Oryctolagus cuniculus: one gene and its partners. The protein of the gene in region 5 binds, or shares a complex with, the protein of the main gene of each other region. Links are inferred from orthologs where the notes say so. Each region holds a gene or a part of one and is shown on either strand. Other genes may lie near its edges.

What was found.
Region 1: the proteins of GNA13 (region 5) and GPR35 are in contact, whole or in part, in a cryo-EM structure (PDB 8H8J), measured with the Homo sapiens proteins. The link is inferred for Oryctolagus cuniculus from reciprocal best matches to the Homo sapiens genes GNA13 and GPR35. Residues at the interface, in NP_006563.2 of Homo sapiens: Lys46, Arg47, Leu48, Val49, Lys214, Asn215, Val216, Phe218, Arg331, Gln337, Gln338, Lys340, Pro341, Leu342, Tyr343, Phe359, Arg360, Asp361, Lys363, Asp364, Ile366, Leu367, His368, Asn370, Leu371, Lys372, Gln373, Leu374, Met375, Leu376; in NP_005292.2 of Homo sapiens: Phe45, Gln51, Thr53, Thr55, Met59, Asp113, Arg114, Ala117, Val118, Pro121, Leu122, Arg123, Arg125, Arg128, Ala197, Leu198, Arg201, Pro202, Thr204, Asp205, Gly207, Gln208, Ala211, Ala215, Met218, Val219, Ala280, Lys281, Glu282.
Region 2: the proteins of GNA13 (region 5) and GNB1 are in contact, whole or in part, in a cryo-EM structure (PDB 8H8J), measured with the Homo sapiens proteins. The link is inferred for Oryctolagus cuniculus from reciprocal best matches to the Homo sapiens genes GNA13 and GNB1. Residues at the interface, in NP_006563.2 of Homo sapiens: Ser31, Ile34, Asp35, Leu38, Glu41, Lys42, Val45, Lys50, Gly205, Ile206, Glu208, Lys219, Val221, Lys231, Arg232, Trp233, Phe234, Glu235, Cys236, Phe237, Asp238, Ser239, Val240, Arg279; in NP_001269468.1 of Homo sapiens: Gly53, Leu55, Lys57, Tyr59, Gln75, Asp76, Lys78, Ile80, Thr87, Asn88, Lys89, Val90, His91, Ala92, Ser98, Trp99, Met101, Leu117, Asp118, Asn119, Tyr145, Asp186, Met188, Asp228, Arg314, Trp332.
Region 3: the proteins of GNA13 (region 5) and GPR4 are in contact, whole or in part, in a cryo-EM structure (PDB 9JHP), measured with the Homo sapiens proteins. The link is inferred for Oryctolagus cuniculus from reciprocal best matches to the Homo sapiens genes GNA13 and GPR4. Residues at the interface, in NP_006563.2 of Homo sapiens: Arg47, Pro341, Tyr343, Phe359, Lys363, Asp364, Ile366, Leu367, His368, Asn370, Leu371, Lys372, Gln373, Leu374, Met375, Leu376, Gln377; in NP_005273.1 of Homo sapiens: Gln45, Asn50, Arg115, Ala118, Val119, Ala120, Pro122, Leu123, Ala126, Ile204, Val208, Ser211, Val212, Ser213, Thr214, Glu218, Lys221, Ile222, Leu225, Asn290, Glu291, Gly292, Ala293.
Region 4: the proteins of GNA13 (region 5) and ADGRD1 are in contact, whole or in part, in a cryo-EM structure (PDB 9V0U), measured with the Homo sapiens proteins. The link is inferred for Oryctolagus cuniculus from reciprocal best matches to the Homo sapiens genes GNA13 and ADGRD1. Residues at the interface, in NP_006563.2 of Homo sapiens: Val49, Val216, Phe218, Phe359, Val362, Lys363, Asp364, Ile366, Leu367, His368, Asn370, Leu371, Gln373, Leu374, Met375; in NP_942122.2 of Homo sapiens: Asn599, Arg601, Leu657, Met660, Val661, Ile662, Val664, Phe665, Ser667, Val737, Ile738, Ile741, Ala761, Val764, Asn810.
Region 6: the proteins of GNA13 (region 5) and S1PR2 are in contact, whole or in part, in a cryo-EM structure (PDB 7T6B), measured with the Homo sapiens proteins. The link is inferred for Oryctolagus cuniculus from reciprocal best matches to the Homo sapiens genes GNA13 and S1PR2. Residues at the interface, in NP_006563.2 of Homo sapiens: Arg47, Val216, Phe359, Lys363, Asp364, Ile366, Leu367, His368, Asp369, Asn370, Leu371, Gln373, Leu374, Met375, Leu376, Gln377; in NP_004221.3 of Homo sapiens: Ser66, Met68, Tyr69, Leu72, Arg130, Ala133, Ile134, Lys136, Val137, Lys138, Leu139, Tyr140, Tyr209, Ile212, Val216, Ser219, Gln227, Thr228, Leu231, Leu232, Val235, Tyr288.

Annotation. Positions count from the first base shown.
Region 1 is NC_091434.1:847,571-852,659, forward strand, and holds the start of GPR35 (G-protein coupled receptor 35), read right to left. Parts: upstream 3,296-5,089; 5' UTR 1,003-3,295; coding exon 783-1,002; intron 1-782. Other genes in the region: CAPN10 (calpain-10), read right to left, coding at 3,983-4,012, 4,117-4,162, 4,272-4,468. UniProt on the Homo sapiens protein: G-protein coupled receptor that binds to several ligands including the tryptophan metabolite kynurenic acid (KYNA), lysophosphatidic acid (LPA) or 5-hydroxyindoleacetic acid (5-HIAA) with high affinity, leading to rapid and transient activation of numerous intracellular signaling pathways.
Region 2 is NC_091438.1:163,949,706-163,954,016, reverse strand, and holds part of GNB1 (guanine nucleotide-binding protein G(I)/G(S)/G(T) subunit beta-1), read right to left. Parts: intron 2,456-4,311; coding exon 2,417-2,455; intron 703-2,416; coding exon 596-702; intron 1-595. UniProt on the Homo sapiens protein: Guanine nucleotide-binding proteins (G proteins) are involved as a modulator or transducer in various transmembrane signaling systems.
Region 3 is NC_091449.1:11,334,933-11,340,018, reverse strand, and holds the start of GPR4 (G-protein coupled receptor 4), read right to left. Parts: upstream 3,397-5,086; 5' UTR 3,391-3,396; coding exon 3,275-3,390; exon of another isoform or gene 1,967-3,274; intron 1-1,966. UniProt on the Homo sapiens protein: Proton-sensing G-protein coupled receptor activated by extracellular pH, which is required to monitor pH changes and generate adaptive reactions. Activated by an optimal pH of 6.8-7.2.
Region 4 is NC_091452.1:1,765,957-1,770,975, reverse strand, and holds the start of ADGRD1 (adhesion G-protein coupled receptor D1), read left to right. Parts: upstream 1-1,774; 5' UTR 1,775-2,248; coding exon 2,249-2,305; intron 2,306-2,396; coding exon 2,397-2,433; intron 2,434-5,019. UniProt on the Homo sapiens protein: Adhesion G-protein coupled receptor (aGPCR) for androgen hormone 5alpha-dihydrotestosterone (5alpha-DHT), also named 17beta-hydroxy-5alpha-androstan-3-one, the most potent hormone among androgens. Also activated by methenolone drug.
Region 5 is NC_091448.1:11,458,575-11,463,498, forward strand, and holds the start of GNA13 (guanine nucleotide-binding protein subunit alpha-13), read right to left. Parts: upstream 3,082-4,924; 5' UTR 2,853-3,081; coding exon 2,570-2,852; intron 1,984-2,569; exon of another isoform or gene 1,102-1,983; intron 335-1,101; coding exon 108-334; intron 1-107. UniProt on the Homo sapiens protein: Guanine nucleotide-binding proteins (G proteins) are involved as modulators or transducers in various transmembrane signaling systems.
Region 6 is NC_091447.1:67,121,509-67,125,360, forward strand, and holds S1PR2 (sphingosine 1-phosphate receptor 2), read left to right. Parts: upstream 1-2,087; coding exon 2,088-3,149; downstream 3,150-3,852. UniProt on the Homo sapiens protein: Receptor for the lysosphingolipid sphingosine 1-phosphate (S1P). S1P is a bioactive lysophospholipid that elicits diverse physiological effects on most types of cells and tissues.

The DNA of each region.
Region 1 (5,089 bases), on a different chromosome or scaffold from region 5:
GGCTCGGGTCCTGCACCGTCCCTGGTGCCTGTCTGAACAAAGGGAGTCTTCCCACCTCGGATTTCTGCAACGTCATCGCACCTGGAGAACACCTTAAGGCATTCACCAGGAAAAACAAAAGCCAACACAGCCATGAACCGTAAGTGAATTACCAAGGCGACGGGATATGCAGTTAATGTGTCAATCATGCATTCTGTATCCTAGCAACAGAGCCTGAAGATACAACTCCACTAGCAATTTAACAAAACCCAAGCACCAAATCATGTATGTCTCCTCCTGCTGGGGCTGTTGCCGAGTGCCCCCACCCCCACCCCGGCCTCTGCCCCAGCCCCAGCCCCGGTCCCCAGGCAGGGAGACACTGCAAACACACGGTGGTCAGAGAGCCTTCTTGCCCAGGAGACAAGACCCAGGACCGTCAAATGGCACAAAGGCCCCTGCCTTCCACCCCCCGCGCCGCCCACGGCCTCACTGGGAGACTGATTACCTGGGTGTGGGCGGCCCTGGGGACAGGGCGGCCTTGAGTCTCGGCCCCACACATACGTGGTTGTAGTCGGCAGTGAGACAGGGTCCCAGCGTCACGGGGCCCCGGCCTGGGTGGAACAGACAGAGCCTCAGTCTGCCAGTCCTGTCAGCGCCTGCCAGTCCCAGCCCAGGCTGGGGCGGTGCTGGGGTGGGGGAGGAGTGGCTGGGGTGGGGGTCCCAGCTTGGCCGGCGGGCGGCTGCTGCCTCGGTCTGAGCTCCCAGCTGCCCCTCACACCTGCTGCCAAGCCCTGCGTACTCACCGGAAGCGCTGCTGACCCTGAGGCTGAGCCAGGCGGGGGAGAGGCAAGGCCAGGAAGTAGCCCTGGGGTTGGCGCGGGGCAAAGTCTGCAGGAGGCCAGGGAAGGCACGGCCCCACCTGCACGGCCAGGTCCTCCAGGGCCATGCGCAGCTCTCCCCCACCCCTCCCCCAGGTGTCAAGCGAGGAGGTGGCCCCACCCCACGGCTGCCATGGCGGGCCATGGTGTGGTCAGGGACCCAGCCCGGACATCACGGCCTGCGCGTGTTCTGGAGTTCTGGGTGCCCTGCCCAGGGCTGGGGGTTGGGGCCATGGTCAGCAGCTTCTATTCATGTCTGGAAGGGCGGGCGCAGGCTTGGGGGCGCTGTGTGCCCGAGACCCAGTTAAAGCCAAGGCGGCGGTGTGAGGAGGCGGCTTTGGGAGGCGCAGCCCTCACTCATGGGATTGTGCCCGCTTAAAGCGACCCCGGAGGACTGCTCAGCCCTGCAAGAGGACACAGCGAGAGGACGGCCCGCGCCCCCGCGGAAGAGCTGAGGATCCCAATGGGTGAGGAAACTGGGGGCTGTCTCCGTTTGTAAACCATCAGCCTCGCAGAAACAAGCGGAAAATGGAAGACTGATTGACAGATGGCAGAGGGCCAGGGAGCAGCGGCGGGGCAGAGAGGGCGTGTCCTCAGGGAGCCGCCCCCAGGGGAGGGAGGGGCTCGGTGGGCCAGCAGTGGCTCAGGACAGGTGCACCGTCTCACGGGTGGTGATGGGCGGGGTGCTGGGCTCTGAGCTGCGTGGGGACGCGGGGTCGAGGCGGCCTCCACCCTGGAGCAGAGCTGCACCACGAGTGCGCCAGGGCCCCACTGGGGAGGCTCACACGACAAAGCCAGCAGCACCTGGCTCCTACCCGTCTCCCACACGCGGCCCAGGCTCTCCCTGTGGACAGTCCCAGGGCCACAGTCCAGACACCCACTGCTGGGAGGAACCCTTTGCCAAGGAAACCACGCTGGGAAAGAGCACCCTGGCCGGCCTGCTCTGCCCCTCCCCCAGCCTCTGCCTGGGTCAGGAGGACGTTGGGCCATGTGGTAAGTGGACACCGGCTGGGATGACCCAGCAGGTGGTCATCCACCCACGAGGTCTCTGCTGGAGGGCAGAGGAGGCCAGGCCGTCTCCAAGGCCCCAGCCGCACGCTCACGTCCAGGCCAGGGCCTCAGCTGGGACTCTGGACAGGGGAGGCTGTGGCTGGGCCGACTCTGCTCTTCCACAGGGAGCCACGGCCCTGGCCCTGCCCCAGAAGTGTCAGTGTCTCCAGGGAGGAGGGCACGGGGGCAGGGGGGGGGGGGGCACGCACCACGACCAGGGGCTGAAACCGAGGCAGTGCCAGGAAATGCAGGATTCGGAGCCCGCGGGGCCCGGGCAGCGTGGGGAAGACGCTTCCAGAGGAGGCCCTGGTCCCACACGGCCAGGCCAGCAGGGCTGTGCCCACCAGGTAACCGGCAGCCGCTGATGGTGAGACCCGATCTGCCAGGACGTGGCCAGCTGACCCCTGAGGAGCAGAGGCCGGGGGTGGGGTGGCTGGCTTGGTTCACCAAAAGCCAGGAGGCGATGGTGGTAACAGTGGTGAGGCTGAGGGCCCACGGGGGCGCTGGGGGCTGACAGCAGCCAGGCCGAAGTGGGCAGATCCTGGAGCACAACCCCCCCTAGACAGCAAAGCAAAACAGGGGTCTCCGACGCCGCGGGCAGGGCCTCACCCCACGTGGCGCCCGCAGGGCGGGGCCTGGAGGACTCCCAGGTGGAGCCGTCTCTAGGCCTCAGGTTGCTGGCGTGTGGCAGTTGTGGGGGCACCTGCCAGGAAGGTCGGAGGCCCCCTGTGGCACCCCAGCCTCTGCCATCACCCAGGACACAGCCAGCCCAGGAGGGCGCCCAGGGCTGATGGAGCTGGAGGACGTGGTGGCCACACAGGTCACACCTGGATCCGGCATGCCACGTCGGAGCCTCTGGGGTCTCCCTCCCAAGTCAGGGGCAAGGAGCTGCATCTGTGCCTCCCACCACAGGAGCAGGGCCTCGGCGGGGGGCAGGGTCTGGAACATGCGGTATACGCCTGCTGACTGGCAGCCTGGCCCAGGGCCTAGCGCGGACAGGGACACCTTGGGGCTGCCACGGCACAGTGTGGTGACCAGCCCAGCCCTTGCTGTGGACTTGGCATGCGCTGCCCGGATCCCCAAGGAGGTGCCATCCTGGCAGCGCAGGCAGAGCCAGCTCCCGGCGTTCTGTCTGCCCCGTGAGGAGCACGGGGTGCCATGTCCCAGGCACGGACGGCTTCCTCTGCCCTCCCCCCGCACAAGCGCGGGCCCGCGAACGCCGTGCCCCAGCTGTCTCAGAGCCCACGCGGAGCCCCTGCCTGCTAAGGCACCATGGAGGGAGGGGCCCAGCCCGGGCAGCAGCTCCTCTCCCCAGGGTGTGGCCACAGCCGCCTGCAGCAGGGTTTTGCAACTGACAAAGCCTCGGCCAGTCCTGCAGATGGCAGAGCTGGGGCGCTGGGGCAGGGTGGGGGATGGGCGCCTGGGGAGGCGGGGTGGGGGGAGGGGCGCCTGGAGGCTGGCGTGGAGCTGCCGGGGTGCGGAGGGCTCAGCCTCTCATGGGAACAGAGGCCTGGAGTGACCACAGGGTCTGAGGCCTGGGGCCAGCGGAGCCAGGATAGCAGGTGCCACCTGCCTCACGGGTCCTGCCGAGCTGCCCTTCCCACTCTGCCCCGGGGTCTGCCCTGTGCCCGCCCCTCCAAGCTCTTCTCTCCCCACTCACTGGCCAGGGTCGCCGTCAGTCGCGCCCCACAGGGGCTGGGTGGGCGGTGGACTGAGCTCTGGGCACTGAGCATCTCCAACAGCAAGTACTCGTTCATGTTTATTTATAAAGTTACGTCTTAAAAATGTCCAAATGACAAACAGGGTTAGCACCTGGCCCCGGCCCTGCTAACTGCCGCGGCTCCCGGGCAGCCCTGGGCAGGCTCCGGGGATGGACTGCCTGCAGCCCCTGCTCCACCCAGGGCCGCGTGCTTCACCTGGGTCCGTGTGGGCCAGAGGCACCGCGGCTCAGCCACGGCCGCCACAGCCCCGCGGCGGTGGCACAGGTGCAGGTCCCCCGCTGCTGGGCGGCAGCTGCCTCGGGCCCAACTCTGTAGCCGGCGTCCAGTGGGGCCTTCATCACGGCCGGCGTCCAGCTAGGCCTTCATCACAGCCATAAAGGACACCTGTGAGGGGACAGCTGCTTGCTGCCCGCCCCTCGCACGCCAGCGCGGGGACAGGGCCGGGGCCGGGGGCCGGGGGCGGGCGGGGCTGGGAGCCACATACGCACCTCCTGGAGGTGCTGCCCCAGCGTCTCCTGACTGTGGATGGACCGCCTGCGGAGACAGCGCCAGTCACCCCTCCCAGAAGCCCGCAGGCACAGGGTCCCTCCACCTCTGCTCTCGGCAGGACAGGCAGGGACGGGGCGAACGCTGAGGGCCCCACCTGTCTATCCTGGTTGCTATGGTCACCGTGAAGGCCCCCTCTGCGTCGGGCAGGTAGGTGGAGGGCACCACCCGGTAGGCGCCGGCAGACAGAAGGCAGAGCCGGCTCACTTCCTGGGCGCAGCGGTGCGGCACACAGCTCAGCAGCGGCTCCTGGAGCAGCAGAGGGGGGGAGCCCCGGCCCCCGCTGTCTGCCACCTGGGGAGGCCGGCACGCGCTCAGCGGGCTGTGGCCGCCACGGAGGGCTGCCCTCCTCCCTCCCTGCCCAGAGGCTCCGAGAGGCCGGGGCAGCCTGCTCCCTCCTCACCCACCCCGTTTGCTGAGGGACTCTCGGGCCCCGACTCAGCCCTCCCCAGAGGCCCCCACTAGCAGTGTCCAAGCTCAAGGAGCTGCGTCACCAGGGGCTTCGTTTGAAAACCCAACCCCTGCCCAAGCGTCGGCCAGAAAGCGCCTCCCCGGGCTCCTGGGCACGGAGCTTTCTCCCGAGCTCCACTGAGCGGAGCAGGCGGGGCTCCGGAGCCCTCGGCAGCCGCCTGGGCAGCACGGGCTCACCTTCAGGGGCTGGACCTTTGCCATTGAGGACCCGGCTGAGGTCCTCTCCTCCTGCCTGGCCCTGGCCCTGTCGCCCACAGCGTCAGGTGTCTCTACCTGCCTGGCTTTGTGTCCGATCTGAACACAAGGCCATGGTGGCACCCGGCAGCGGGCGGGCTGTCCACCGTGTGGCCAGATCGGCCAAGCCTGGGCCTGCCCTGTCCTACTCTCCCGGAACCCAGCCAGCACCCACTCCCCAGGGCACGAGCCAGCTGGGCCTCCGCCCCG
Region 2 (4,311 bases), on a different chromosome or scaffold from region 5:
GACGGGAGGTTAAGAATCCCAGGAAGAGGAAGAACAGGAGCCTCGAGGGGCTGTGCCTGGGACAATGAACACACCACAGAGAGGCACAAAGACCGGGTGAGGGGTGATGGCCGCAGCAAACACACACACCCATGCACCTGCTGGGGGCCCCAACCACAGAAACCCAGGCACAGCACCACCCCACAGGCTGCTGCTCTCAGGCTCTCTCTCTGGGCCTCCCGCAGCCCGGAGCAGGCGCTGAAATCACAGGAGGGCCAGCAGCCACCAGAACAGGCCGCGCAGTGCAGAACACAGGGACAGAGGAAGGCCACTTCCCAAGGCCACGGCAGAGCACAGCGGGGCGGAGGGAAGGTGGGGTTTTCCAGGGAGGAGAACCTGAGCCACACAAGCCAGCCTGGAGCGGAGAGGAAACAGCAGAGTGGAGTGGGCCAGGTGAGCGCAGACCCGCGCACAGGCCACGCCTGGCCTGCTCATCTGACTCCTCCTCCTCGTGTTGCTCGCTACAAAGTACAGCAAATGAGTCCGGGCGACCTTCCCAGACAAGAGAGCCTCGGTGACGTAGCCGGCACGGGCTGCCGCCGTGGCCTGTGCCTACCTGGAGTCCGTGCCCCAGTGCATGGCGTAAATCTTCGCCAGGTGCCCCCTCAGCGTTCTCCTGGTGCGCATCTGGATCCTCCCCACCGGGTCGATGTTGTTTGTGATCTTAAACACGAAGGTTCCTGAGGTTAACATCTGTGACCACACGATCTTCCCAGAGCCCTCCTCCTCACCCACCCAGCAGGGCCCAGCCATCCTCCAGCTCTTCAGGGGCACCAGGGCCCTCGGGACTCTGAACAGGGCTGCCGTTTCCACGGGGCGTGAGGACACACCTGTCCCCCTGGCGTGCACACACACGGCAGCCCGGCTCCGCCTCTGTCTCAGGGCCCGGGGCCACCACGGGCACAGCCTCCAGCTCCGCCCATCTGTCTCAGGGCCCGGGGCCACCACGGGCACAGCCTCCAGCAGCTAGTGCTCTGCTCCTACCTCAGGCCACGTGTGGGCCTGGACAACACTCAGCATCGGTGTCTGCACGCCAGCACCCACCCCACAGGGCAGACACCGACAGCAATGCCTCCAGGTTGGCAAATGGGCAAAGCACACCCAACAATGAGTCTTAAAAAATGGACAGTCCACAGTGCGCCCGAGAACTGACAGCTGTGATTCTACGCTGCAAGAATTCCTTCTTACAGCGCATCCCCTTCAGTGTCTGGATCGCCTCATGAACCAAGTCACCTGCAGAGGGTGAATCTAACTTTTCTTTCACTATTCTGTCCGATTCTTTAACTTTTTAAAACTCTGTTACAGTGCCCACTCAGGGCATGCTGTGCAGCCCTCACCACTGCTCGCCTCCCCACCCACCCAGCGGCCACCTCCTCCTCTCGCCCCCACGATCCCTGCAGCCACCAATCTCCTGTCTTTAACTTAACCATTCTGGGTATTTCATACACACAGAGCTACACGTGGCTGCATTCCCTTTCACGGCTGAGTAATATCCCACCGTGCAAACACACCACCACACGTTTGTACGCTCATCCACTTATGGAGAGCTGGATGGTCTCCTCCCTTGGCTGTGTGAGCGGCGATATGAACACTGTACAGCCATCCTCCTTTAACTGGTTTCGCTATGCATGGCTCAGTTTCCTGTGGTCAATCGCAGTCTGAAACTATTACATAGGACATTTCAGATACGGACAATTCCTAAGTTTAAGTTGTGAGCCGTCTGAGCAGGAGGATGACATCCACTCCGGCCTGCTGGTCCTGTCTGGGGTGTGGTCAGCCCTCGGCCCGTGGGACCGCGCTGTGCCCACTGTGGTCACCCAAGCTGCGTCCCAGCCCCGTGTCGTCTGCCTCACTGCATCTCCTCGCACAGGCGTTGTTGTCACAAGTGTGAGTACAGGAAGATTAATTTTTTGAGACAGATCATATGCACAGATTTCCTGCAGTGTTGTTTTTATGATATTCCATTATTAGTCCGCAGCGATGCCCTCTGTAGGGTCTGTGTACACGAGGCTTCAGACACCCACGGGTTTCGGTGTGCGTATCCTACTGAACACCCGCTTGAACGCCGGCTTTTGATCCTTTTGGGCACACAAGGAGCCATGGAGCTGCCGTTCAAGTGTCTGGGGAGCTGTCAGGCCGGCCTGCGGAGTCCAGTTCTTGGACCGACTGGCCACGAAGGCAGCGACACGCCGCCTGACTGAGACAGCAGTCTTCTGCCCTGGCAGGGAGCACTACGCGGGCTGAAGAGACGACGCGAACACAGAACCCCTGTCTCCTCCCACGTCTGGACGGCTCCGCAAGACAGTGCCCCGCAGTGGTCTGGCAGCTGCACGGGCAGAGCTCACTGCGGAGGGCCCAGGCTCACACCGGCTCTTACCTGAGAGAGCGTTGCATCTGCACATGCTTTCCTAGCATCCTAGGAAGCAACACAAGAGAGGTGAGCGGTGTCCAGGCAGGGGCCACCTGGGGCCTCACAGCGTCACTGTGGAAGGAAAGCACCCCCCCCCCAACACCCACCATCCACCGCACTCGGCCACTCACACACAGCGACCGTGGAACCCGGCACGGGGACGGCACCAGGGCAGGGCCCCTGGGCGCGGGGCTGCCCTGGCCTTCGGCGCTTCTGAGCAACCACGCTGGCTCAGCGCCTGCACAGCTGACCCAGGGAGGACGGGAGGCTGGCGCCCAGGGAGAGCGGTCCAGCAAGGACCTAATGACCAGCCCAAAAATCTCTTCGGGACAATAATTACTTTGTTGGATTTAAATTTCACAGAAAAGAGCAAGGCGTCTGATCAGACTGCAGATTCAGATGAAACCTTCTGACTTCTTCCTGGCTCTATCTGCTTTCTTATCTACGAAACGACGAAATGCAGGTACACTCTGCGGAAGGACACGCCATCACTAACATCAAGTGAACAAGGAACTAGACAAGTGTGGAATCTTAAATGAACATATATTTTTATAAATAGGGAGATATAGGGAGCTGGCGCTATGGTGTAGCAGGTAAAGCCACCACCTGCAGTGTCAGATCCCACGTAGACGTGGGTTTGAGTTCTGGCTGTTCGGCTGTTCCACTCCCGATCCAGCTCTCTGCTGGGCCCCTGCACCCATGTGGGAGACCTGGAAGAAGCTCCTGGCTCCTGGCTTTGCATCAGCCCAGCTTCGGCCGTTGGAGCCATTTGGGGAGTGAATCAGCGGATAGAAGACCTCTCTCTCTCTCTCTCTGCCTCTTGTAACCCTGCCTTTCACATAAATAAATAAATCTTAAAAAATAAAAATAAAAAAGCAATATGTAAAAGAGAACTTCAAAAATCAACAGAAAAATGGAACTGAAAGATAAGCTAATTTGGGCACAATATTTTGAAACCCAGGCGTGATTTTATAGTACATATATTCTATGAATTTCCTGAAGACCTCTGTACACTAGATGCAGTAAAATGAGAACACAGCTTTAAAGGCTCACAACAGGAGTGTGGGCAGCCCCTCAGAGGCACTCAGGGCGATGTCCAGTAAGACACAGGTCTCCATGCTGCTGTGAGCTGACACTGCAGCTGGGTGTTCCCAGGAGATCCGATTTTAGGGGCAAACTTCCCTACTGTAAATTTTTATTTTATGAAGCCAGTGGGGATATCTGTGAATTAATAATATAAAGAAACTATTGGCCGGCGCTGTGGCTCACTTGGCTAATCCTCCACCTGCGGCGCCGGCACCCCGGGTTCTAGTCCCGGTCGGGGCGCCAGATTCTGTCCCAGTTGCTCCTCTTCCAGTCCAGCTCTCTGCTGTGGCCCGGGAAGGCAGTGGAGGTTGCCCAAGTGTTTGGGCCCTGCACCCGCATGGGAAACCAGGAGGAAGCACCTGGGTCCCGGCTTCGGATCGGCGCAGCGCCGGCCACAGCAGCCATTTAGGGGGTGAACCAACGGAAGGAAGACCTTTCTCTCTGTCTCTCTCTCTCTCTCTCACTGTCTAACTCTGCCTGTCAAAAAAAAAAAAAAAAAAAAAGTCCAAACCACACTAGAGTTTAAGACAGCACCTTCAGAGTCAACACAAATGGCTGCCTCAGTGGGTGCCCGTCGTGGTGCGGGGGTCAGACGCTGTGTGGGCCCACGTCCCACAGCCAGCTGCCAGGTCAAGTCTCATATCCTGCTCCTGACCAGCTCCCTGCTAGCACGCCTGGGAGGCAGACAATCGCCAAGAACGTAGGGCCCTGCCCCCCACGCGGGAAACCCAGATGGAGCTCCCAGCCGCAGTCTGGCCAAGCCCTGTGGGGAAGCT
Region 3 (5,086 bases), on a different chromosome or scaffold from region 5:
AGAGCCCCGGGAACAGCCCGGGGAGGCAGGGCACCCTTCCCCGGACAGAAGTTAGGGCCACCAGCTCAGGGACCGCGAGGCCGGGGCAGTGCCCAGCTCTGCGTTGGGAAACCACTCACTTCCAAGACCAGGCAGGGTCTAGCGAGGTCGGTACAACCCCCCGCCCCCCCCCCCACCACCAACTGTGGGACACAGCAGGGCTGGTGCCGGGACCCATTTGTATCTTCAACGTCAAACAGCCTTGCTTTGTTCTCAGCTGGTGCATGATAGCCAACATGCCTGTGGGGTGCCGTGTGAGGGCACCCCACTCCCAACAGGGAGATGAGGGCGATGCTCCGGCCCCCGTGCGCCAGCCCTGGCAGACCCCGTTCCCAGCACCTGGGTGGGCATCATCCCATGAGCACCTTGCAGAATCCCATAAAGAGGAGAGGAGAGGCCCCATTTGACAAACTGAGGCCAGGACCTGTCCAGGGTGCTGATGGGCGGAGGGGACCGCTCCAGCCTGCGCCCTGCTTGTGTCCAGAGGAGCCGTGGGCTGGCAGCCGAGGAGGGACAGAGGAGCAGGGAGGGGCCTCCTCTCCCCCTCCAGCCTCGCGGACAGAACCCTGGGCCTGGCACCCGTGGTCGGGGGAGAACTACAAGCAGAGCTCTGAGGACAGGCAGGGGCCGAGACCCCGACTGCGGTCAGCCCCAGAGGGAGGGGCAGCGAACCCCGCGGCACAGGCTCCCGCACAGCCATGCCCGCTTGGTTTTCAGTGGATGGGAAATCTTTTTCTCTGTTTTTTAAAACAAGATCTTAACTGGAAACCCAGGCTGAGGGCAATAAGGGGAAGGCGCCCTGCGCTCTGAGGGAGAGGGGGTGGGGAGGGCGGGCGCTGAGCAGAGACAGTGGCCGAGACTGGAGGGAGTCCCAGCTCTGGGTCCCTGCTGGGAGGCAGCAGGTGAGGGCTCACGCACTTGGGCCCCTGCACTCACGTGGGAGACCCGGATGGAGTGCCCGGCTCCTGGCTTCGACCTGGCCCAGCCCTGGCTGTTGTGGGCATTTGGGGTGCAAACCAGTGGATGAAGATCTCTCTCTGTGTCTGTCTCTCTGCCTTTTTTTAATTTTTTTTTTAAGATTTATTTATTTACTTGAAAGTCAGAGTTAGAGAGAGAGAGAGAGAGGTCGCCCATCTGCTGGTTCACTCCCCAATTGGCCTCAACGGCCGGAGCTGGGCCGATCCGAAGCCAGGAGCCAGGAGCTTCTTCCGGGTCTCCCACACGAATGCAGGGGCCCAAGCACTTGGGCCATCCTCCACTGCTTTCCCAGGCCATAGCAGAGAGATGGATCGGAAGTGGAGCAGCCAGGACTTGAACCAGCGCCCATATGGATGCCGGCACTGCAGGCAGCAGCTTTACCTGCTACGCCACAGCGCCAACCCCTCTGCCTTTCAAATAAAATGAAAATTAAAAGAACCTGCAGGACACAACGCTAGAAACCAGTGGCTCAGTCTGCTGGACAGAGAGGCACAGGGATGAGCCTCCGGTCACAACAGGGGTCCCTGGGGAGCCCCCAGACACCAGTCTCCTCCCCGCTCCACCTCCACACTGAGCCCTGGGTCCCGCACCTGTCCCAGGAGCCCCTGCCACCCTCCGCCCTGGCCCTGTGCAGCAGTACCGTCTCTGCTTTTCCCAACGGCCACTCAGGTCCTTCAGCAGAATCCTCAGCATACAGTAGGCGTTCAATAAATGACCATGCACAGAAGCCATTGAGGGCAGAGGCCAGAGGCCCGGGATAGGGGCAGCACTGGGCAGCCCGACCCCCTCCCCCGGAGGAAAGAAGCAGCCGAGGCAGGCTGCAGGATGTGCCCCGCTTCATAACTGACTTTGAAAGGGCAGGGCAGGCCCCCTCAGTAAGCCCCGCCTACCCGCTGCAGGGTCCTCAGACACAGCTGCAGCTGGCTCCCCGCCCCCACCCCACCCCCACCCCACAGTGGCCTCCGGGTCCTGGCGATGGAAGAGTGAGGTGGTGTGTGACCCCTGCCTTCAAGCCCAGACCTCCAAACACCTCCGGCCCCTCCCCGCTGAACCCCTCCCCATCCTCCTCCACTTGGTTCCGGGCCCCAGCACTCTATAGCCTCTTGGTCTCTCCCTCCTCGTTCCTGGGATGCGGGGCCTCAGCTGCCCCTCCCGTGGGAGGGCACACAACCTTTACCGGGCGCAGACCGCGGAGGCCCTGGTCGCACGTGCAGTGTCTGGACAGTGGTCCCATGAGCAGGCCCTGGAGAGCCGAGACCAGCACTGGGCCCGGCCATCACGTCCGCCCCACCCCTCTCCGTGTGTCCCCTGGGTTGTGGCGCGGCTGGAGCAGGTACACACCAGGCAGAGGAAGTAACACTTCCCACAGCTAACTTCCTCCAGGGGAGCCAGCGCAGCCCCGCCCCTTCCCCCCGCCCCCCCCCAGTGCACCTGCTGCTTAGGGATGCTGGGCGTGGGGGAAGGGCACCCTGCCAACTCCCTCTTCTTCTCAACCTGAGATCTGCCCGGCACTGAGCCCCCAGCAGCCGACAAGGAATGTCAGCCCTTTACAAAGCCATTATGCCAGGCGATGTCTGACCCTTCCCCCGGTACAGCGGGGGTAACCGATCGGCAAAGCAGCTGCCTAAGTCATACCATGTGACGGGGCCGTGGCCTCTGAGCCCCAGACTCCCCCTCCCTCAGCGGCTTTTCTCCCCACCTCCCGCACTCCCATTCTTTCCCCCCACGGCTTTCTGGGGGCCCCGTGAGAACGTGCTGGCCAACGCAGGCCTTGCCACCACAAGCAGAGCAAGTGACCCAGTGTCCCTCCGTCCCCTGGCCTCCCCCGCCAGCCCCTGGGGCAGGACCTTCTGCCGTTAGGCTCTAAGCTGACTTCCTTACTGGGGCTTTGTTGGGGCGAACCCCCAAATCTGGCAGCCAACAGGAAGCTCTCCCTGTCTCCCAGGTCCTGCGGTCAGCGGTCGGTTCCTGCTGCCTCTTGCAGGTCCCGCCCCCACCCCCTCCCTGAGGTCGGTGCTGGCCCCTTGCAGAGGGCAGGGAAGAGAGATAAGCCCTGGTGTGAAGCGATGGTGAGGAAGGGCAGATACTGTTCAGCCCTCGCCTCTCTGCAGGCCCCCCGCTGCTCCAGCTCAGATAAGTCCCTAGGCACCGGCAGGTACCCCCAGATCAGCAAGGCTGAGGGACTCACGGCGGGGGGAGGAGGTTGAGAGGACAAGAGGGGGAAGCGATGCAGACCCCACACCCCCAGCTCACTCACCGGCCGGCTGGCCTGTGCCTGAAGCCACCAGGTGGTCTCCCTTCCCCCCTCTCTGTGGGCTCTGGCTGCCCCCTCCCCAGCGGCCCCAGGGGACCAGCCAGCGCCGGTCTGTTCATTAGGGATGAAATGTGATCACCGCCCCGCCAGCGCTCCCCACCTGCTGCCCTGGCAGCCGGCGGAAACCAGGGGCAGCGAGGCCACCCTGGCCGCCCTGCGGGCCTCAGTTTCCCCACTTCTACCCCCGGGGAGGGGATGGGTCTCCACCACCCCCTTGCCCACGCTGCCCCAGAGGGACACTGGGGTCCTCAGCCTGTGCCCGCCTGATGTTCTACATTCCAGGCGTTTCCAGGTTCTATAGTCGGTCCAGTTCTGCAGGATAGAACGTTCTGTAGCATTCTAGACCTTCCCTCCCCTCCGTGCTGCTATTGTGGCCACCCGGGCTTTGGAAGTGCATAACCTTCTGTGTTTTCAATACTCCAAAGTCTCACATTCCAGGACTCTCCGGTTCTATTGTTAGAATGCTCTATGATTTTTTTTTTGTTTGAACACTCCATGACTTTCTGGATCTATTATTAAACCTCACTGATTTTTATCTCTGCCCCGCAAACACGCATTTCCCTTTTTCTACAGAATCGGGGCGCGCCCCCCTCGCTCGCTCTCTGTTCCCGAGACCTGCTCTCATCTCCAATTCCTGCAGCCCGGTTTCCAAGGTGGAGCAGAGTCCTGAGACCTGGCGGCGGGGACAGGGGGCGGCTGGGCGCCCCCGCCACCTGCACCCCGGATTCCCACCACCTGGGGAGGGAGGGGACATCAGACACCCCGGCTGCTTCCCCAGCCCTAGCTCCGCCGGGGCCCCAGCTCTCCTGGCTCACACCGGCCGCGTTATTATTTGTCTAGACACAAACCAAATTACAGGCCGTGTCCCAAGGGAACAGTGGGCTTCCTGGGGAGGGTGGGGGGGTGCGGGTGTCAAACCCCGCTCCCCCGCACTCTTCTCTCTCCCCCCTCCTCTGAAGCTCCGCCCATTCCACCCCCACCAACAGTCCCCACCCACCCACCACCCACCCACACACACCCCGCCCCCACCTCGGCAGCAAGGTTCCAGAAATATTTGCTCTGCACCCTCCCTTCTGGATTCTCGCCAGGCACCCACCCCTCGCTCCCTGGCAGCCAAGCCGGATCCCCCAAAGCAAGTCTAGGCAGCGGCAGCAAAGGAGGCCAGCACTCTGGATTTGGGGTCCTGAAGCTCCCCTTCCCCAGGGCAGGGCGGTGTGGGGGGGGAGCCTGGCTCTCTGACTGGCAGTGTGCCTCGGTTTCCCCACCTGTCACCCGCTGGGGGGTGTGTGTGGCTTACGCAGCTCCCCAGCCCAGCTGGAGCTCCAAGCTGAGAACAGCCAAGACTTCCAGGCTGGCGCTTCTGGACGGAAGGAGCACCCAGCTGCCTACAGGATCTGGGGTTTCCAGTCCTGCCCGGTGAGCGCACCAGCCTCCGGATCCTGCCATCCTAAGGTGCTCAGGTGCAAGGGTTCAGGGGGCTCTCCACGGCCCCCCAGCCCCTCCTCACCCTAAACCTCCTCCACGGAGACAGGGCTGGGTGGGAGGCTCCCTCCACGGGCTCAGGGGGCACGGGGAGAATCCAACTTGCATCCCACCATCCATCTCTCTCTCTCTCTCTCTCTCTCTCACACACACACACACACACACACACGCATGCACACACACCCCACGCTTCACAGAAACTGCTCAGCCGGTACACACGTGTGTGCGTGTGTGCGTGTGTGCAAGTGAAGTGTGTGTGGGGGGGTGAGGACA
Region 4 (5,019 bases), on a different chromosome or scaffold from region 5:
ACAGCCAATCCCAAGTCCCCTGACCCAGGCCCGCCCACGCTTCAGGAAGGACTGCTCTCTCACTGAGCACACGAACCTGCAGCCCAGGGAGCGTGTAGACACCTGGGGCAGGGGCTGCCGAATTCTTCTGCATCAGTTTCTAGTCTGAGTGCAGCCTCTCATTATGTGATAGCAATTTATTGATTAGAAAAATGTGTGTGTGTGTTGGGAGGTTGGTTTGGCCTGTGGGTCAGGCACTGGGGTGCCTGACTGCTCCGCCCCAGGAAGCAGCGGCGATGATAGCAGCCCTGGGTCCCTGCCACCCATGCGGGAGACCTTCCCAGCTTCGGCCTGGCCCTGCCCCAGCCGTGGGCATCTGGGGAGTGAACGGGCCAACGGGAGCTCGCTTTCCCCTTCTGTCTCTCAAAGCAAGCAAGGAATGAAAGACGGCCATGTCTGCTTTGCTCAGTCTTGGAAGTGAGAGAGGCATGGACTTAGCACCTGTTTAATTCATCTCAAGTTAGCGCTGTGGTGCCTGCCTCCTCCCAGGGCAGTCGGAGGGAGGTGGCAGGTGGGCGGTGGACGGGAGGCAAAGATAAAGGCATGAACTGTCCTCCCAGTGCTCACACCCAGGCAACGGGATAAAGGTCGTGGAGTCCATGGGTTTGCAAGTGCCGGGGGTGGGGGGAGAGTTCACAGAAACCTCGGGAACCTGCTGCAGCCCAGGCTATCGGAGAATCTGCAGGGCCCACGGAGGCAGGCGCAAGTTAAAAATAATCACCTTGTGTTCTGACATCAGCGTCTCTCTCCCCCGGGGCGATGCAAGCCATTTTCTTGTCCTCTTTAGGAAGCGTGTGGGTTCGGGACGCTTGGTTCCCATTTAAAGTCAGGACAGTGGAGATAACAGTATCAGCCGGCGTTTACTTTCTGCTTTATAATGATCCTCGCCCAGTGAGGTTTTCTCTTCGTAAGAAATGGCACCATTTATTGAGTGCTACATATTTTCCCAGCTCCACTTCTTTCTCACCCACACTGTCAGAGGCCCGGCTGGAAACAGAGAGGCGCGGTGCTCTGCCCCGCAGCCCAGTGCAGGGGGGAGGGTGTCGGTGTCGGTGCTGAGAGCCGGGTGCGGCGGAGCATGGGAAGCACCCGCAGCTGGGGAGGGGCAGGCTGCATGTGGAGTCATTCGGATAAACTGTGCGTCGTGGGCAAACGGAGGCCCAGCTGGCTGAGGTCGGATGCTATCACGTTGGGTGCTGTGGTGGGGGTACGTGATCACGCGGGACATCCCGTAAAAGCGGCCCATCACACACCCGACTTCTGAAAGGGTTAAGGCTGAGGCTCGGTGTGGCAGCCGTGGCGCTGTGTTTATTCCCACTTTGGCCCATAGATCTCCTGGTGTCTCACTCTGGGCGCCCGGGGCGTGGGTGGAAACAGAGTTCACAGTTTGATTTACACTTTGTGTTTCATATCTATGCTGACTTTGAGGGTGCCGACTGGAAGGCGTCTTTCTCCCCCCCCCCCTCTCTCCCACACACACACACACACATACACACACGTCGGTTTGGTCTGCTTCTGACCCTGCAGATCTTCCCGGTTGTTCCTAACAGGCTGGTGTTAGGACCCAGGAAGACGCAGCAGCGACAGGCCGGGTGTGAACGGAGAGCCCGAAGTTTGAGGAGAGCCTCTGACATCACTCACTGCTCTCCACCCGCAGGGGACGCGGTGCGTGCTCAGCCGGAGCCAGGGCCAGCCCAGGGCGGGCAGGAGCTCCGGGGCGCACGGCTGCGCGCGGCGTCTTCTCTCCCGCACTGCAAGCACAAGAGGAAAGTCCGGTCGCAGACCTGGACAGGGGCCAAGGAAGCTCTTGAAATACGCGGCAGAGGCTGACGGCCGGGGCTGCCTGCTGGCTCGGGACAGCCTGCCCGGGGCTGCGAGCCGACTGGGGTTTCTCCTCCCTGCATCGCGTTCCGCGGGGGCCCTGCCAGCTGCCATGTGTTTATCGATCACTGAGGAATTCCAAGTTTGCAGACCAGGAAGGAACACCCATTAGCACTCTCGGCAGCTGCAACGCACACACTGAGGAAGACTCCGACCCTGCTGCTTCTGAACCCGTGAGAAGGCGCCTTTCCCAGGGAAGTGAAAGCTGAAGGGGCCGCTCCCGGATCTCAGGGACACCCCCAGGCGCCCGGAACTCAGGGACGCCCCCAGGCCCCCGGAGCCGCCCGGAACTCAGGGACGCCCCCAGGCCCCCGGAGCCGAGGGAACCATGAGGAGGCTGCTGTCTCTGGGCTGCTGGCTGCTGCCGCTCTGCTGCAACCTCCAGGTAGGTCCTGGGGCTCTCCTGGGATCGGCCGGGACGCTGCCGGCTGCCGCGTGTCCCGGGTGTGTCTCATGCTGTGGTCTTCTGCGTGCAGGTGCATGGCGCCGACTCCAGGATCCAGGACCATCCAGGTGAGAGTTTCCTCCGTGCTCTCTTGCTTGCTGTGGGCACCCTGTTTCTCTCGAGGGGCTCCGCGCAGGCCCTTGGTGGGCTGCCCGTCTCGCTGGCCCTCCACAGCCGTGGGTGGGGAGCAGGTCTCCTGTCCAGCCGACTCTTGCTTGGGTCGTGAGAACAAAGTCTTTCGATGAAGCAAATGCGCTCCTTTGGGGTTGAACATTTTCTGTCTCCTTCGACTCGCGTCTCGCATCTTCAGTGACAGACAAATGCTGCAGCCCCCCTTCCCCCCCCCTCCCCCACCAGGTGCTGGTTCACTCCGTCCCTGATGTCTCCTCGGTGGGGGGGATTTCTCCTCCGTGCCTGCACCTGGCACGGAGGGAGCACCCTCACTCCAGACAGAGCCTCTTATCTTTTGTTTTGTTTTAAAGATCTTATTTATGTAAAAGGCAGTTAGAGATAGAGACAGAGAGCGACCTCCCATCTGCTGGTTCACTCCTCAAATGGCCACAACGGCTGGAGCTAGGCCAGGCCAAAACCAGCAGTCTGGAGCTCCATCTGGGTCCCCACGTGGGTGCAGGGGCCCAAGTACTAGGGTTGTCTTCCGCTGCTTTCCCAGGCCATTAGCAGGAAGCTGGACAAGAAGTGGAGCAGCTGGGACTTGAACTGGTGCCCCTGTGGGATGCCGGAGTTGCAGGCGGCAGCTTTACGTGTTGCACAATGGCACAGGCTCGGAGCCTCTTGGCCACTGTGGCTGCTCAGCGTTGTAGTGTCGGGGCCAGGTGTGTCCTTGGTGGGTGTGTGGGGTGCATATCTGGTGGGAAGGGGGGAGGTGCCAGTGAGTGGCAGGAACCCGCTGCCGGCTAATGCCACGCATGTCTGCTGCTGGAGGATGTGTGGTGGTGAGACCTCTGCCGGGCTCTAAGCCTCGGCTGGCCCGCTGGTGACCTGCTGTCTCTCCTCCGAGCAGCCCTGCCCCCCTTTCCAAGGACTCACCTTCAGACACGCCAGGCCCGGCCAGCCCTGGGGGCCCCAGTGCAGGTGCGACCTGAGCTCCCAGGAAGCCCTGCTCTGAGCAAGCGCCCGTGACACACGGGTGTCAGCGGGGGGGAGGGGAGGGGGCTCTCGGCTTTGCTCTCCCTGCTGAGTGTCGCGGCGCAGGACGGAGCAGTCACTGTCACGGCCTCCGTGTGCCAGCCACGGCGCTGGGACGCGGCCTCTGCTCCCCATGTGAACTTCCGCTGTGCTCCTGATGTCCCTTGTCTGAAGGTGTGGATGCTGTGGTGGCCCTGCGTCCTCCTTTCTTCAGCCAGAAAATCCAAAGAAAGCAAGCAGGGTGTCCGTGGCCTGGGGCTGAGAAAGGCAGAGGCTGCCCGTGCCTCGCAACTCCTGTTCTCCCGCCCAGCCTCGCCTGCAGCTCACGCTGGTTCCGCTGGAGGAGTGACGGGAGACGGGGAGCAGGGGCTCTCCTCGGGCAGCGGTTGCAGAGCAGGGAGCTCAGGCAGAGCTGGCATGTCCCGGAGCCACAGAACCAGCCGCTCACAAGGGCAGCCACGCGTGGCAAAGGAGCGCTGGGGCTCTTCTCAGACTTTGCCTTGTGAGACAGCATTTACATGTGTTCTCATGCATCCACACAGTTCAGAGCCCACAGGTGTCCAGCCACATCCACCCATATGCGTCCACATATGTCCTCAGAGTCCACAACCCCCACATGCACTCACACATCCAACATGTGCCCACAGACATCCACATGTGTCCACACACGTCCAACATGTGCCCACACATGTCCACATGTGTTCACACAGTCCACATGTGCCCACACAGTCCACACACGTCCACATGTGTCCACACACGTCCACACACATCCACATGTGTCCACACAGTCCACATACATCCACATGTGTCCAGAGTCCATCCACATCCCCCATACGTGTCCACATATGTCATCAGAGTCCACACCCCCCACATGCACGCACACGTCCAACATGTGCCCACACATGTCTACATTTGTTCACACAGTCCACATGTGCCCACACAGTCCACACACATACACATGTGTCCATGGAGTCCATCCACATCCACCCATACATGTCCACATATGTCCTCAGAGTCCACACCCCCCACATGCACACACATGTCCAACATGTGCCCACACACGTCCACATGTGTTCACACAGTCCACATGTGCCCAGTCCACACACATACACATGTGTCCATGGAGTCCATCCACATCCACTCATATGCATCCACATATGTCCTCAGAGTCCACACACCCCACATGCACTCACACGTCCAACATGTGCCCACACATGTCTACATGTACCCACACACATCTACATGCACTCACATCCACACAGTCCACACATATCCACCTGTGCACAGACATGTCCACACAGCCCACAGGTGTCCACACACATGTCTATGCAGCCACACATGCCCATGGACATTTGTGCGGTCCACGCACACGCACACGCACTTGCATTCTTGACCCTAAACTTCCAGGAGCTGTGAGCTCAGTCTTGGCCCCACACAGATTTGCTCTCTACGACCTGAAGGAGGCAGAGAAAATGCTTCCTGAGGAGCCCGCCGCCCCAGAAGTCACA
Region 5 (4,924 bases):
TTTTAGGGGCAAATTATACTGTGGAAGTCAGTGAAAAAAGTGTGCTAACAGTAGGCATTATTAGATATCTTTAAAATAAAACCACAATTTAAAAAAAAAGCTCTTACCAGTTGAAATTCTCGACGCCGGTCATAAGCATTCTGTATGCCACTATCTGCCCATAACGCTCTTATAGCTGGAAGGTATTGCAAAAAAACCCGCGTCTCCACCGCTCCCTGGGACACCGCACGGGCCCGGGTGTCAAAAGCCATCATCTTGTCTCCATGCAGTTGGTTTGCATTATCTCCCCAAGGAATGTGAAGCTTCTCTCGAGCATCCACCAGCACTCTCATACCTATGTTCAAAAAGAAAAACGGGAATGGGGAAGAATCGTGAGATACTATCCTAAGTTTTCATTCCAATATTATTTCCTTAAACTTAACTACTGCAGCCCTCCTCCTCCAAAAATAGAGACCAACACCAAAACAAACCCCAGTATCTCCCCAGCTATGGAAAGCAGTTGCTCAAGGTTGCAAAATTAGAGCCTTGAAAAGTAAATACTAAGAACACAATTGCTCTTTCTGCGGGCCTCTCACATGTTGCAATTTATAAAGTAACTTCTGGGGTAGACAGTGGTCAAAGGAAAACTAAAGTAGAGGAGAAAAAGAACTGACGCTGCACTGCCCAGTGTCCAAGCTGTGAAGATGACGGCTGCAAGCACTGGTTCATGAGGCTGTCTAAGACACTTACTTTACTTAATACTAAGAACCAACACTACAGCTCTGCGTTCAGTTCTTTCCCTGAGTCTTCTAGGAATACATTCAAAACTCAAAAACTTCTCCCAGACCACACTCAAACGAGTATGAGGCTCAGGGGTCTTACAGCTCCCCTAAAAGGGTGGAGGGCCAATTGCAGAATGACCTAGAAACAGACTTCAACTCAGAGGCTAGGTCAAACTCACATCCCTCAGGAAACTGTTACCTCTGGGCCACCCTGCCAGTCACATGGCTATTAGCAAGTCATTTGTTTGGATAATCCAGGAGCTGTTTGGCTGTCAATTTCCTGAGCATGCTAGCTCAAAAATAAAACGAAATGCCTAGCTGACTAGAGGAGATGACTTAACATCACCTCATCATCAATGCTCAAAGTAGGTCACCTGTAGGACCCAGACGTCTGAAGAGCCAGAATCAGTTATCATGCTGACTCTAATCATTATCCTAATTCCTCTACATTCGGCTGCATCACAATACAAAGCCACCTTCAATTAAGGACCTGCCAGGCAGTCTGCGGCCTTGAAAGAGATTTTAGTTTTGTGCCAAACACTGAGGCAGGCTCAACACGACTGTTCTTTACAGTCTAACTGCAGAGGCACCAGGGCTGAGAGCTGGCTGTGTGCGTGAGCTCCGGCCCGCGTTCTCCAGCCACTACCCCACAATGCCTCCCTCTCTGTGCCGTCTGCCTCTACACGAACTCTGGGAGGGGAAAAAAGTGAGCTGAGGGAGTTGCTTCTGTACTTCCTGGACAAAAGCCCTGCAAACTCCTGGATAACCTGCTCTCCACACAGCAGGCGACAGATGCACCTGAGCCAAGTGACAGGCGCAGTCCCTCCAAGCGTGGAAAATGCCTGACACTAAGAAAAAGGCGAGCTCGTGACGTTTCCAACGACAAAACAGCAGCTAAATTCCCGATCTCCTTGAACGCCTCCCAAATAAAGATCTCGTGTCTGTTTCACTTAGGAACAAAGTTCAATTTCAAAACGCCCGTCAAAAAGGAGTGGAGCCTATCATCCCACCCAACAGTAAGTCACTGACTTCCCCTGGCCAGCACCCGCGTTACTTTCAGGCCAGAGAGCCTTCTTAGCACAACACAACTTCGACAGAAAAGGCAGGATGGGGACCCCACTCCCTCCCCAGCTATTCAGCAACAAGCGATTACAGGCGCCCACCGCGGCGCACCGGAGCGCTGGGGCGAGAACCCACGGACGCGCATCATGTTAGACCAAAGGTATGGGTCTACTCTTTCCTGCAGCCAGGACCAACAGGTGACACCCTCCAGCTTCACATCCCGGCCCCCCCAAAGCCCCAGGGGCTGTCCCTCTATGCCCTAGGACGAGAGTCCGAGGCAAGAGTTTCCCGACTGCGCCGGGTCCAGAACTCGCTCCGGGGGCAGCCCAGCAAGCCGGGAGCGCCCCCGACCTTCGGCGGCTCGGGTCACCCGACCCCCGGGGCCGGCGAGAGGCGGCTGGGGCGGGGTGTGCGGCCCCGTCTGCAGGGAGGACGAGGGCAGAGGCCACCCCGCACCCCGTGGCACCCGGCTCGCCTCACTTCCCTCTCGGACGCGGCGAAGCCAGCGGCCGGGCTGGGGGCGGGGGGCCGGCCGCGACCCTCTCCTCGGGCGGCCAGGGGGAAAGCGGGGCGCCCCCGCCCCTAAGCGGCCGAGGGCACAGCCGGCGGGCAGAACCCGAGCCCGGGGCGCGCCCCGGTCCTCGGCCGGGTCCCGAGCGGACGAGGGCGGGGTCCGGCCCCGCGCACGCCCGCCCGCCGCCCCGCGTCCCCGCGTCCCCCGCGTCCCCCGGTCCCCGGCCCGGCACCTTTGATCACGTTGCTGTAGATGGTGGCGCGGAACTCCTCGCGCGCGCGCTGGTCGAAGTCCTGCCCGTGGATGATCCGCATCTGCTTCAGGAAAGTGGACTTGCCGCTCTCGCCCGCGCCCAGCAGCAGGATCTTCACGAGCCGCTTCACGTAGGTCTTCTCCCGGGACAGGCATTTGTCGATCTCCTTGGACTTGCGCTGCTGCTCGGCCTCCCCGCTCGTCAGCACGCAGCCGGGAAAGCACACGGACAGCACGGACCGCGACGGCAGGAAGTCCGCCATCTTGCCGCCGCCGCCGCCGCCTCGGCGGGCCCCTCCGGCTCCCTCCACCTCCTCCGCGGGCGGCGGGCGGCTCCGGCACCGCGGCTCGAGGGCGGGGAGCGCTGCGGCGGCCCGAGCGCGCCCGGGGAGGGAGGGAACCAGAGAACTGACTCGCAGGGCGGGCCGGGCAGGGCGGGCTAGGCGAACCGGGGAGGGAGGGAAGGAGGGCGGGCCCGGGAGGGGCGGCGGCCCCGGGGGCGTGCGCGCGCCCGCGGCCTCGCAGGGCACGCGCACGCACGCACGCCGCCTCCCGCCCAGGGCCGCCGAGTCACGCGCTCGCCGTCCCGCTCGCTCGCTCGCGTGCGCGCGCGCGCGGCTCGCGGAGCCGTGGTCACGTGGGCCGGCCTGGCGCGCGCCCGCGGAGCTGGACTTTCCGGGGCCGTGCGACTCCGGGGCAGTTTCCCGGAATCGCGGAGGCGGAAGACTCAGGTCCCGGGCGCTGCCCAGCTGCTGTCACCCTCCGCGCGCTCTAGCGCGAGGCCATTAGCTTGAAACTCGTTCCCGCAGCCGGCACGGGCGTGGAAAGTTTTGGGGGGCGTTTCTTAGCGTCACGCCCCCGACGCGAGGAGGCGCTTCCCCTGCCCGGGGCGATGACCCGACGCCGTCGGCTACCGCGCCCCTGCTCCTCACCGGGGCCCTGGGTCAGAGCTGACAGCACTGAGGCGAGGCCCGTGTGGCCGCAGCGGCGGGGTGGCCGGCGTCTCCCCGGGGCGGCGACGGCGGCCGCGCTCGGCCCCGAGTCCGCGCATGGCGAGCAGGGTGAGGTCATGGTGAAAATCCCCCTGCACCGGACACTGATGCAGACTCTTCCCCGCGAGGAAGCAGATAAGCAGGCAGGCCGAGGACGGAGCAGGCACCCTTTAGGTTTCCTGCCGCCGTGCAGAGGATGTGACCAGCCAGGGGGCTTTTTTTTTTTTTTTTTTTTTTTTTTTTTTTAATTTTTAATCCTCCCAGCAGCAGCAGATTCAGGCCAAGGCACCTGAAAGGGCTGCGAGTGACAGCCGGGCTTGGCCCCCAGAAGCCGGCCTCTTCGTTCTTAGTATTCGGTTTCAGGTGGCAAAGGCCACGGCCGGTGTGTCTGTGTTTTGGCAATGCGACGTGAGACTCCTTGGTTTGGGCTCCTGTCACTCGGATTCCTGTGCGCTAGGCAGTTCGGGGGAAAGGTCAGCACTCTAAGGACAGGTTTCAGCGTCCACGTCAGTGCGCGTGGCCGAGTGTCAGGGGTTGAGTTAGTCACCGGCAGGCCTGATGATTCAGCCCGTTGGCCACAATGCCTGTAGTAGTAGGGCTGTCTCCTGCTGCCTTGGCCAGGCCGTGGGCTACCTGTCCACAGGCAGGGGAGCGCCCCTCCTGGAGATGTGGGTTGTCAGGGCCCGAGCCACCAAGCCTGGCAGCTGAGACATCCTGCATCCCATAGCAGAGTGCCTGGGTTCCAAACTCATCTCCAGCTTCCTGCTAGTGCAGACCAATAAAGAAATTGGTTTCCTACCACTGATATGGGAGATTTGGGATCCATTCCTGGTGCCTGGCTTCAGCCCACTCTCTGCCATTACGGGCATTTTGGAAGTGAACCAGCAGATGAGAGTATCCCCACCCCCCACCACTACCCCCCAAAAAAAAGAATCACTGGGTAGTACTGTCAGGCAAAATGTACGCTGAATGGCAGATGTTTCTCTAATCCCAGCTTCTGCTGGGGAGACCCTGCTCTCTCACCCTGCAGTTGCAGCCCCTTGCCCAGGACAAGGACACAGCTCTGGCTGAGCACTCTCTCAGCATGCACTCTGGGTGCCAATGTGAGCTCAGCAGAGAGAGAAGGGAAGCCTACACATTAGGCTGAGTAACATTCACGTCTCTGTCTCTCTCTCTTTTCCCAATTGGGTGCAGCGAAATGGAAAGCCAAGCAAGGATGCCTAGGAGGGAGAAGATGATCCCGCCCAGCCAGTTCATGTAGTGGCACGCAGAATACCAGAGAAAGCTATACAAAGCCCTGCGTGTAACCTTGTCTTGGAACAAGCGTAGAGGAAGCCTGGCTG
Region 6 (3,852 bases), on a different chromosome or scaffold from region 5:
GCCGTGGACACACGCTGGGCCTCTGGCCCAGCAGCCAGTGTGCTTTCCGGGCCTGCCCCAGGACCTCGATCCTCAATTAGGAATGCCAGGAGGGGACCCAGCAGTCCAGGGCAGCCTATGGGCAACTGATGGAGGTGACCCAGCTGTCAGGCTGCGGTTCAAACCCCACTCCCCTCCCGGCCAGGGACACCCAAATAGCTCTAACTTGGCCCCTAAGAGAAGACCAAGCTCCTATCGCCCCTAACTGACCCGATCCCTAAGGCACTCCCCATTGGGCCAATCAGAGGCCGCGGAGGGAAAGCTCAGGCCAATAGGCACGTCGCTCAGTGTGCTGGGATTGAAAAGGAGCCAATCAAGGTGCAGGCTGTTTCCGGTCCGACGGCGGCGGCCCACGCGCGGAGCAGCCTGGGCCAAGGCAGCCCCGGGGCCGGCTGCGGCGGGCAGAGGGCACCAGGGCAGCTCGGGGCCCTGTCCAGCCAGGAAACAAGGGGGCCTCTGTTGGCGATCAGGGCGGGGCAGCTGTCCCCGAGGACGTGCACAAGCCCTTCTCTGTTCCCAAACTAGGACGGATGTCCCTCCGCCTTAGGGGGGCAGATGCCTCCCTGGGGCCGGGGACCAGGACGCCCCTCGGAGCGGGTGGCCGGGGACAGGGACGGCGGGGCAACCCCGGAAGCCCCCCATCACTCCCGGGCTCTCTGGGAACGGCCGAACCAGCCTTTTTCTGGAACAGAGCTTCTAGCCCGCACGTGGTCCTCCCAGGCCGGGTTCCAGGGACGGGAATGGCTCTTCCCTGCCGCCGGCCCCCCTCCTTCCTCAGCTAAGGCTTGGAGCTTCCTCCTTGTGGGGGGGGCTCCTCGACACCCCTGCGCCCTCCCCTGCCCCAAGCTAGTCACGGGGTCTGCATCTTCCCGCTCCCTCCCCCCACCTTTCAGCTTTCCTTGAAGGTGTTGGGGGGGGCAGTGACTCAGTGTTTCATGGAAACAAATGCCTGGCCCCCTCCCCGCGGGGCTGCACGCCCCCTCACGGCTCACATGACTACAGCAGCAGCTGCCGCATCGCGCCTGGTCCAGGACCTCCCAGACTGGTCTCTGGTGGCGCCCCCCTGCCCCATCCAACTCCACCCCCCCAAGCCTTTCCCACACCGGATGTGACTTGGGAGCTGAGAACTCCACCCTGTTTGTTCCAGGGGCCTCACATCTGGATTTCATCCTGTGGGGAGGGGGTGCCAACGCCCTGCCCGCCCTTCCTGGGGCCCTCCTGTCCCTGGGCAGAGCCGGATGGTGCTGGTGAGAACTGGCTGCTGGGGCTGTGGTTGGCCTCCTCAGCACCCCATCCCTAGAGACTGGGTGAGGGGCACCCAGTCCTACATGGGAAGAGGAAAGCCAATGACGTCAGCTAATACTTGCTGAGCGCTTAGGAGGCGTCCACAGTGTCTCCTTAGTCATTTTCCTCTAAGTCTTGAGAAATGGGTTTTTTTTCTCCCATTGCTGCATGGATGAGGCTGTCCGGGGCAGAGGCTGGAGTGAATTGCATGGCCTCCGAGGTCCGTGGCCTCCAAGATGATGTGACCTCGGTGATGCTGGAGTCTTGGGGCCGCCCTGTGTCTCCCCAAGACCTTATCTGGGAAGCGCACACAGCCTCAAGGCTTCGACTCAGCCTGCAGTCCCCAGGCAGTGGCGGGTGCTATCGGCAGCCCGGATCTGGCTGACCTGGGTCAGCAGAGGCAGCACGCGGCCCAAGGCTGCCGTGTGTGCTGGGGAAGAGAAACAATCGTTGGGAGGCCCTGGAAGGCCACTTTGTACCCTCTGTGCCACTTGGGGGAGCTCGCCCTGACTCAGGCCGCTCCTTATGCAGGAGTCCCGCCCCCACCAGCCTGTCCCATGCCTGGGGGCGGGGGTAGCTTGAGACCCTGGGGAGGGGTGGTGACCAGCCCGAGACTCCGCGTGCGCGCAGCGTGGTGGAGCCAGACCTTGAACTTGAGCCCTCCGCGCGGCGGCCGCCAGGGCTCTGACTTGTCGGTCTCTCTCTTTCTCCGTCCTCTGCAGCTGTGACAGCCTCATGGGCTCGGCCGGCCGCTGAGCCCCACCATGGGCAACTTGTACTCTGAGTACCTGAATCCCAGCAAGGTCCTGGAGCACTATAACTACACCAAGGAGACGCTGGACACCCAGGAGACGCCCTCACGCCAGGTGGCCTCGGCGGTCATCGTCGTCCTGTGCTGCGCCATCGTCCTGGAGAACCTACTGGTCCTCATCGCCGTGGCTCGGAACAGCAAGTTCCACTCGGCCATGTACCTGTTCCTGGGCAACCTGGCTGCCTCCGACCTCCTGGCCGGCGTGGCCTTCGTGGCCAACACCCTGCTGTCCGGCTCCGTCACGCTGGGGCTGACCCCCGTGCAGTGGTTCGCCCGCGAGGGCTCCGCCTTCATCACCCTCTCCGCCTCCGTCTTCAGCCTCCTGGCCATCGCCATCGAGCGGCAGGTGGCCATCGCCAAGGTCAAGCTCTACGGCAGCGACAAGAGCTGCCGCATGCTGCTGCTCATCGGCGCCTCGTGGTTCATCTCGCTGGTCCTCGGCGGCCTGCCCATCCTCGGCTGGAACTGCCTGGGCCAGCTGGAGGCGTGCTCCACCGTCCTGCCGCTCTACGCCAAAGCCTACGTCCTCTGTGTCGTGACCATCTTCTCCGTCATCCTGCTGGCCATCGTGGCGCTGTACGTGCGCATCTACTGCGTGGTCCGCTCCAGCCACGCCGACGTGGCCGGCCCGCAGACGCTGGCCTTGCTCAAGACCGTCACCATCGTCTTGGGCGTCTTCATCGTGTGCTGGCTACCGGCCTTTAGCATCCTCCTCCTGGACTACGCCTGTCCCGTCCGGGCCTGTCCGGTCCTCTACAAGGCCCAGTACTTCTTTGCCTTTGCCACCCTCAACTCGCTGCTCAACCCCGTCATCTACACGTGGCGCAGCCGGGACCTGCGGCGGGAGGTGCTGCGGCCGCTGCAATGCTGGCGGCGGGCGGCCGGGGTGCCGGGCCGGCGGCGGAGCGGGACCCCGGGCCACCACCTCCTGCCACTCCGCAGCTCCAGCTCCCTGGAGAGGGGCGTGCACATGCCCACGTCGCCCACGTATTTGGAGGGCAACACGGTGGTCTGAGGGGGCCGCCTTGGGTGACCTCAGACAGAAACTGGGCGAGGGGGGCTGCCAGATAAGCCACGCCCCTTGCGCCCCTCCCTCCCACATTGCAGACTCCCGCACAACATTTGGCAGGTGGCGGCTCTGCAGGTGGTGTCCTGGAGTGCGACCCCAGGGTGGGGGAAGGACCCGTACAGGGCCAGGGTGACAGCAGGCGGGCGCACGGTTCACCACTCGGTACGGAGGATTTCAACATTTCCCAACCGTTGGAGCGGCCCCCGTGTGCAGCAGCTCCCCTGTCTGGATCTCCCCCTCCCGCCACTCCTTTGCAGCCGCTGTCCCCAGGACTCGCGGGAGCTCCCTGGATGTCGCTAGCTGCCACTTCTTCCCTTTCCCCTCCGATGCCACTGGGTATGTGGCGTTGGCGGGGAGGGGACCGGGGGCTATGCCTCATTCCCTGTTCTCAGACCTCATTGGTTCGTTTGCACTATCTGGGGTGCAGAAGAATTACCAAGGGCTGGAAAAACCAGTTTGAAGAGGCTTTGGAGGGCTTCGGGCCTCTGGGCGGGGTAGGGTGGAACTTGAGAAGAATCGGGGAGGGGAGGGAGATGTTTGTACAGGACCCTCACCCCCAAACAGCCACCCCCACCCCCGCAGGTGCCCACCTCCACACCTTCCACCCAACCCAGGTACCAGATCCCCCAAAGGCAGGGCAGCCTTGAGC